Bombyx mori: one gene and its partner. The protein of the gene in region 1 interacts with the protein of each later gene in a pairwise test. Links are inferred from orthologs where the notes say so. Each region holds a gene or a part of one and is shown on either strand. Other genes may lie near its edges. The genes, in order: vacuolar fusion protein CCZ1 homolog and protein SAND.

Region 1 (4,607 bases):
TAAAAAGTCTGCATGGGTCAGTGAATGTTCAACAATATCTGTCCCGCAGTTCATCTTAGGTTGACACATTACGTACACCTAATTTATAAAAAATTGCAAAGCTAAAATACTGTATGATAAGGGTCGATTATAAAATGAATTAAAAATTAACGATTCTTGTTATTCTTAGACTAAATCGAAATTAATACGATTTACAAGTAAATTTTTACCTACCAGCGGGTTAGTGCCATAGCCAGGTAACAGCGGAAGGCGGGGATTTCTAATAGCCATTTTAACTATAACTGAACTTTAAATAATTTAAAAAAGTAGACAATTAAAGGCCTATTTTAAAGCAAAATTATTAATGTATCAAAATCTTGGGAATAAGTAAAATGTCTGAATTCAAAATGTTAAACGTCAATAGATGTATGTGAAGCTTAATAACTGTATTATCTATGAACATAAAATTTGAATCAATATTATCTTTGCTAAGCAACTGAGAAATATTAAATCCATATATTATGTAATAGGTAATCTTTTAGCTACGTATTGCAATGAACCAGTGCATAGCATACCCGATCCGGTGGACCGAATGGTAAACAGTTGACGTCGCCCTAAACGTCATTACCGATCCTCCCGATCCATTAACGGTGCTTTTAGATACCTCAAGCACTGGTCACTGTCCTCCCCGAACTCGTCGCTTGCGACGAAGAGCTCGACAAGTAAATTAAACATTTTTTTCCTACCTATGCTAATAATAATATAATAATAAATGCGCAGCGGAAGACGTAACGTGGGACGCCCCTTGGCTAGGTGGTGCGATGACTTCCGCACGGTGGCCGGCAAGAAGTGGATGAGGAGAGCCGCAGACCGGGCTCAGTGGTGTGGATTGGGAGAGGCCTATGTCCAGCAGTGGACGACTGTGGGCTGTTGATGATGATGATGATGATGATGATGCTAATAGCCTTGAGAAGCTATATCAGCTTCTCCTTGACGTGTAGGTGAGCTCACGGGGCTCAACCGGGTGTGTTGCTAACACTGGCCCTAGCAAGAGCAGTGCTTCACAGAATCTACCACCGAATCGGAAACGCGACCCACTGAGAAGATGCGGCGAACTCAGTGGGCTGTCTATGCTATTTTTGAATTTGCTATTTTCCGATATGAAGTACAAGTAAATATTGAATATAATTCCTTGGACTGCATTTTTTAACCGTTTTCGAGGTTCCGACATGGCTATATAACCTTTTTATAAGTAATCTGAAAATATTATGATCAAAACTATAGCGAATATTTGAATTACATATTATCCACTCTATATATATATTGGTCTGCTGATGCGACTTACGCCTACGGCTCTAAGATGGGTACCTACTGAAGCTATTCGAGAGAGCACGATAAATACGAACTTTTCCGAAAAATTACGAAGGACAATCTTTTCTCACTATATCAGTAGCATTAGATTACCCACACTGAAGTACTTAAGATAAAGAAAGGGCTACATATCAACTAAATATTTCTTTATTATTTATAACTGTGGATTTCAGATCAATATCAGCGACTTGGACTTTTTGGCGGAAACGCGAGGAGTGAAGTTGTGTGATTTGTTTTATTTTATCTATTTAGTGTTTTTGAAGATTTAATTGTGTAATAACGGTGGTTTACTAACTGTTTAGTATTTGAAAAAGTGCAAAATGTGAAAAAATGTAACAAAGCCACTGGACGTAACTTCTCGGGATCCTCCAAAAAGTCTAGTGAAAAAATCTCAGTAAATGACCACCATTTTACTGAGATTATATTATTTCATCCCATATCATCTCATTTTATTTTATTTCATCCCAGTTGATTAATGTCTCAAATAAATTATCTTCATTTCATTTCATTTCACTCCATATCATCATTCTTCATAAAAATAAGAATATGAATTAAAATAAGACATGACTTAGAGTCTTAGCTACCAGGTCATAAAATCTCTTAAAAAATAAATGTCATAGCCTTCAATCAGTCAATGTCAATTTCATTAATGTAAATTGTCAAAATTCAATAAATAAACAACAAGTTTTGCATTGCAACATTATCTTTTTATGACGGCTGTGTTAAACTAAATGATATTATTTTTTTAAATATGATAGACTTAAGATCTAAAATCAACTTTTTCTTCGTTTTTAACCCTACCTTTGGACCTAAGGAGGGCGATGTAAGTTGTAATGATTTCATGTAATTATACCGTTCAAATTTCAAGTAATTTTAAAATCTCTCTTTCAATTTAGGAATTAAAGAGAATACTATACTTTTATCCAAATGAAGTCAGTCCAGATGCCCGGAAAATGCAAGTTGGGCTGTGTGAAGCCGTTGTCAAATTTATGTCGTAAGTGACCACATTTTTATTGGTATAATCATATACATATCACCTACTTTAATAACCATTGACGATACAGTTGCAGTGTTCATGATCCTCAGAATTAAGAGAAAAACTGATTGCACTAGATGATATCAAACTGACGAAAATGTAGATATTATTTTAATTACATTTTCAGGACGTTTTCATCTGAACCATGTGAAGCTTTGCAAACACAATCTAAGAGATACATATTTTTTCAACCAGAAAAAAACTTTTGGATGGTTTTAGTATGTAGATACACATTTTTCTAATAATACATAAAACACAAATTTACAGATGTGAGATTCTTATAGAAATTTTAATTTATAGGTAGTCCGAATACCGTATACAACCAAAGCATTGTCAGCAGTTGGTGAAAGTCAGGGAGATATAGTAAGTGAACGAAACAATAAAAAATATATATTTTAACACTATAGATAGGCAATCAGTAAATGTAACAATTAAATGTTAGCTATGAAGTTACTAAAGTATTTCAATTTACCAATAGGCATTGAGTTATGTGCCCTTGGCATTACTGCCTTTGACATAAATATAGCTTAGTACTTACCATTACATTTCTACTTTACTGTTTTTCACAGAGATAAAGATAAAACCTTTATAATAAAATTCTTACCTTAACATACAGCAAAAAGATTTTTTTTAAATAAATTTGTCACATCTTCATTCACATTCATAATTTTGGGAATTACTAATTAAGTTAATTATCTAACTATTCATCAATTTAAATAACTGAAATAAATGATGAAATTCCTTGATTTTTTTTAGGTCAATCCTACTGTAATGCAAAATCTCCTAACATCTGCATATAAGATGTTTAAAATGTTCAGGGGCCCATTCAAAAATATTCCAGCTGATGATTTATATGGTATAAGTGAGCAGTTCTTTACGCCTGTAAGTAGTACCCGTCCGAGCGTAGCTGGAATAGCTTCTTAGGCTACCAGCCAGGTAGGCAGAATAAGTAATAAAAATAATAAAACTAATTAATTATATTTCAATTTTGTTATTGACAGTAACAATAATTCCTTCAGTTCTTAAAACTCTAATTATTATTCTATTACAAAAAAAAAAGTTCAAATAAAATTAATTATAAGTATAAATGGCACTCAGATTAAGTCATTCTTATTCGAGTTGACTTTTTTCATTTCCAAATTTTTATTTTCAGTATATATCATCCAGACATCTAACAAATGACATATCAGATGTTATTCCTGGCATAAATTATTTACCTCTAGATAAAAACTCTTTTTTTAAAGTGGTATGCTTCGTAGATCACCTGGAAGTTACTTATCCTGATTTTAAATGTATATTGTTTCTTTACAATGATCAGCTTCTATGGTAAGAAAATAAAATATTTTTGTAAACTTCATCTTTAGGAACTTTCATTTGAAAACCTATTCCTGCCGAGTACTGAGACTTAGGTCTCAAGTCTCATGGACGTATATGGACTCCGGTAACTACTAAACACTAAGTGAGTCCTAAGCTAGGTCACGCATCACGTAACAAACCAAGTATAACTTAGAATCACTGATCATCTTCAGATTTTTTTTTACTTAATACCATTTGGCTTTAGTTTGAACTTTCCTCCATTTTTTTCCTATGCATTATAACAAGATATGGATATTTTTTACCCCTGATTACCATGGGGATAAAGTGTGGATAGATAATATTTACTTTTTCTTTTCCTAATTTGAAAACTATCAAGGTGTTAATTTAAGTAACCTGTATCCTTCCACAGGAACGGTCTGTGTACAGAAGACATGCTAACATTATACCAATATCTAGTACAGACATTGCTCCCTAAACAAGTTGAAATAGAAATCCAAGGTGGTGTAGTGACAGCAGCGCAGAGACTTGGCCGATTCATAAGTCCGCCAGATGGAATACATGTTAAAGAAGACTTAGATAAATTGATAAAGATACACGTAACACTCGAAGATGATACAGAATTTAAGGAATACTACCTCCTCATATACAGAACATTGAGTGCGACTGTCTGTTTCACTATTGATGGTATGTTAATATTACATAATAGATGAAATAGTATTGTAAATCATTTGGAAATAACGTTATTTTTAAGGAAGCGCGTAACGAACGGGATCAAAAGACTACAAGATACAAGCTTGTAGGGTAATGATATGTGTCAACTCGTATTTTTTCAACGAAAATGCCCAAGGGCTCTGACATAAATAGGAACATTGAATATTTTCAGTAAACACTCGGCTGGAACTTG
Region 2 (4,272 bases), on another chromosome or scaffold:
TTTGGTTCATAGCGGGAATGAAGACTAGGTACGTGTGTACAGATTAGGAAGCTTCTTGAAAATCGGGATCTAAAGTGACGTTTTCGATTCCATCTGACGCAGCGGACAGATCGAAGCTTCGAAGTGGTTCTGGCATAGGTAATTAATTATTCACTATGGTGGATTGGTATGGTAGCAGATGGCAAGTGAGGATACCTCATTTTACTGTGTGTATTAGTTATAATGACTTTTGTATAATGTAAGACAAAAATGACAATAAGATGAGCGGTTCATTCTGTCCAAATCAAATGAATTGCAAAAAGAATAGATCGAAATTTTCTTGCCCGTCCAGTAAACACAACAAGTGTGGAACCCACGCTTTGTCGTATTTTTCGATGGTACTAATGATGTGAAATTTCTTCGCTGGGTTTTAAAAATAAGATTGCCACGCATGTGGCAAAACTTGTTGATTGATAGTACATATTTATGAACCACTAAGCTAGGAAAAAAAATACTACAATCTTCAAAAAATAATACAATGTTCAGGTGAAAGTAGGTAGGTAAGTCAAAATTAGTAAGCATTTCTACATGTTACATTATAGTATGTCACAATATTGTGTCGACCAGTGTTATTACTTATTAAACTTACAAAGTAAAAATACTTTATGATCTATTAGTTCTTAATAGAAAAAAATTGAGGCTTCGTTTTAAACGTTACATTTAGGTACAAGTATTAACTAAGTATCTGTACTAAGTTGACTCCCATTGTGTTTCTGATTCAAATTGTATTGAAAATGTTCCTAGTTAAAACTCCTAATAAAAAAAGGATAAACATTTTTATTATAATCACACACTGATTATTTTATTTAAATTAAACATTGACATCGTTTATAATTTTAGCTTTGCATAACATAACATGCAGACGATGAAAATTATGTTACATGGTTGTTTTTCTTAGCAAGCATTTATATACTTTCATGGGTACCAATGTGTTATTTACACCATTTTTAGTCGATTAAAATATTATTAATTTGCTAGATAAAAATTTTATACACACTGATTTGGTAACTAATGAGAAAATCTAGAATATTATGAGATAACCCCTTTTGCTTAATTTGTCAAAATGACATAAACTCGCCTTCTTCATGTTCCAGTCACTGCAATAAAACCAATGAAGTATACTATATAGGTCTATGAATAAAACATGATTAAAACAGATCTGTACATCTCGCCGTGACAGTTGAAGTTCTCGAGCAAAGTAGAGCTGAAACTCATTAGAAAAACAGAGATGGCAAATAAATCAATGTCAAAATATGCAAAATACCCGTTCACAACTTCACACCGATAATCATTGTTCTGGAATGTTATTCAAAATAAAGTGACAGAAAAACCAAAAAACAAAAATTCGTTTTTTTTGTCTTAACATAGTTATATTAAAATTAATGAAAAAGTATCGTCATGGCATCTACATCCAATGATAACGTGCCTCAACATATGAATGCTCCAGAAAATGCTTCTGATGAACTTGAACCGGGTGCATGTCATGATAGCATACTAAACCCCACTGATTCCTTTGAAGAGTTTGCATCGGAGATGAGTTCCAGCCTAAGAGAGACCTGCTTGACTACTAAGAGCAGTACTATAAGTGAAATACAAAGTGAAATCTTGGAAACTGCTGAAGACCCTAAACTGAAAGCAGCGAAATCAAGTGATGATTTACAAACAAAAGATGTAAGTTTTATAGATACAGTAGCTAATTATGTAAGTTGCTAAACTTAATTAAGACTGTCAGCCATGTCTTTATATCACTACCAGTACATAATCATCAATTAAATATGTTATGAAATTTATTAGTATTTAAAAAAGAGTAATATTTTCTATAAATATTTTACCCTCGAATTGTTAGCAAAACATTAGTTTTATTATCACTATTAACTAACATCAACACATGTTTTTAAAACCAAACAACATAAATCTTATTAGTTACATATTTAGAATGCCTAAATAAAAGTATCATAATATGAGGAATTTTGTCAGTTTGGGTCAACATTTTTCTTGGCCTGCTAGAGGCTCTCATTCAGAAAGGTATAAACTAATATTCACAAATTCTTACAGGGATCAATGTCAGCTTCAGCCAGCAATTCGAACTTAATTGAGGAGAATGGAGATGATACAGATGATGATAAAGACTATCTACAGTCACCAGAACTTGTTAATAAAGAGAAACATGTGTTCATACTTAGCACTGCAGGAAAACCTATTTATTCAAGGTAAGAGATATTCTTTGAGGGTAGAGCTCATAGCCCATCTGTTGTTAAATGGTTATTGGGGTCTATCAACCTCACAATATGAATACCGTCATGTGCCTGAGATGTGAAGTCAGTATCACAACTATAAGTCTGTCCTACCCTTCAAATTCGAATGCACTATTGATTTGTGGCAGCTTAAGTTTGAATGTGAGAACTCACCGATATAGGCTCTGTATGTGGTATGTAATTCTAATATAATAATATAAGTGAATATTTTTTTTCCCCATTTAAACCACAAACCATTGGTTTTTTTTTAAGTTTGAGTTTAATCTGATGTGTTACTGTTATTCCGCTGTTGGATAATATTTCAAAATTTTTCTAACATAGTTTGATTTTAGATATGGCAACGAAGACAAGTTAGCTGGCCTGTGTGGTGTTATCCAAGCTCTTGTCAGCGTAATAGAAGAACAGAACCAGGATATATTGAGGTTCATCAACACGAAAGATTGTAAAGCAGTATTCCTTGTTAAGGGACCCCTAATACTGGTTGCTGTTTCGAAATCCAATGAAAGTGAAACCCAATTAGTTTTGCAGTTGACGTAAGTGAAAATTAAAGTTTATCTTCAAGATAAATAAAAATTTTGATAAAATATATTTTTATCACAGTGTACGGGGCTAATAATCCCTCTGATAAATATCACCAGCTGGTGGACAGTTATATTTTTAATAAATGCCAGTTTTGATAGACAGTTCAGCCTTCAAACTAGAAAACATGAATAGAAATGCAACCTGTAACTTATTGAATGTCAAAAAAAATAGACAAATCATGTCAGATATCATTAGGGCAGATCAAAGGATCACTTGAAATATATATTTGAAATTAAAAAATACTTTTTTTTTCTTTCTAGATATGCATTCAATCAAATTGTTTCGCTGTTAACACTAACCCAACTGAATAGAATATTTGAGCAGCGAAGGAACTATGATCTGAGAAGGCTACTGGCCGGAGCTGAAAGATTGATTGATCATTTGCTTGTGTTTATGGAGAAAGATCCTGCCTTTTTACTAGGTAATACAGTAAATTGTAATTGTTAGTCTGTTATTGTTAAACAATCACTAGAAATAGACCCATAGACACAGCCCACTGAGTTTCTAGCCGGATCTTCTGCGAAGCACTGCTCTTGCTAGTTAGTTCTTGCTAGTCAGTGTTAGCAACACTCCGGCTTGAGCCCCGTGAGCTCACCTACATACGCTAGGGCGAAGCTGAAATAGCCTCTCAAGGCTATCAGCATAGGTAGGGAAAAAAAAAAGAAAAATGGATGGGAGGTATAGTAATCGGCAAACTTCGTGAGCAAATGACCTTGACTGCGCAGAACCGAATTTTAGATCACTTTGGTGGTGAGGGTGAGGCGCGACGGCAGGGGAAATCGTATCGAGCGCGTTATTGGTAGATCAGTCGAACCTTGCGTCCCGCACCGCGCCCTCGTTCCGCTTGCTCCCAAAAGTACGCTTGCGTACAGTGGAAAGTCTATCGTTATTAATCGTTAAGTTATTAGTTATAATTGCTTGTGGACTTTGTTGCCATTGCTATTTGTTGAGTGTTTGTTGATTTTTTATAAAACATACACTATGCCGTGACAAACTGGTGTAGTACTTAAAAGAAAGGGTAGAAAATTTGTGTACGACGTATATTGCTTCATCATAAAACAGGGGAAGAATGATATGGAAAAATTAAAACAGACTTCGGAAGCAACAAAAACATCAGTGAGTACTGTTTGGTGCATTATTAACGAAGCTAAAGGCTCTGGCTTGCTCGCCGTGTTTCGGACTCCGGGTAAGAAAAGATCAGGGAAGAAGAAAGTTACCGGAATGGATAGTTTCGTTCAATCTGTAATAAAAATATGTAATCATAATAACTACATAACAAGCAGCGAAACTCCGTACCGTAGAAAGGCTTCGAAACATTTAAAGAAGATATAAATTTTAATGGCTCGGAATGAAGCTTACGACGAATTATGAAAGAGCTAGGCTTCAGATGGAAAAA

What was found.
Region 2: the proteins of vacuolar fusion protein CCZ1 homolog (region 1) and protein SAND interact in a two-hybrid assay, tested with the Caenorhabditis elegans proteins (2 studies listed by BioGRID). The link is inferred for Bombyx mori from reciprocal best matches to the Caenorhabditis elegans genes ccz-1 and sand-1.

Annotation. Positions count from the first base shown.
Region 1 is NC_085114.1:10,373,424-10,378,030, forward strand, and holds the start of vacuolar fusion protein CCZ1 homolog, read left to right. Parts: upstream 1-1,540; 5' UTR 1,541-2,101; coding exon 2,102-2,173; intron 2,174-2,246; coding exon 2,247-2,344; intron 2,345-2,513; coding exon 2,514-2,604; intron 2,605-2,686; coding exon 2,687-2,749; intron 2,750-3,142; coding exon 3,143-3,268; intron 3,269-3,539; coding exon 3,540-3,712; intron 3,713-4,112; coding exon 4,113-4,387; intron 4,388-4,586; coding exon 4,587-4,607. Other genes in the region: EF-hand domain-containing family member C2, read right to left, coding at 214-270.
Region 2 is NC_085134.1:3,992,504-3,996,775, forward strand, and holds the start of protein SAND, read left to right. Parts: upstream 1-1,193; 5' UTR 1,194-1,437; coding exon 1,438-1,710; intron 1,711-2,094; coding exon 2,095-2,249; intron 2,250-2,626; coding exon 2,627-2,827; intron 2,828-3,136; coding exon 3,137-3,297; intron 3,298-4,272.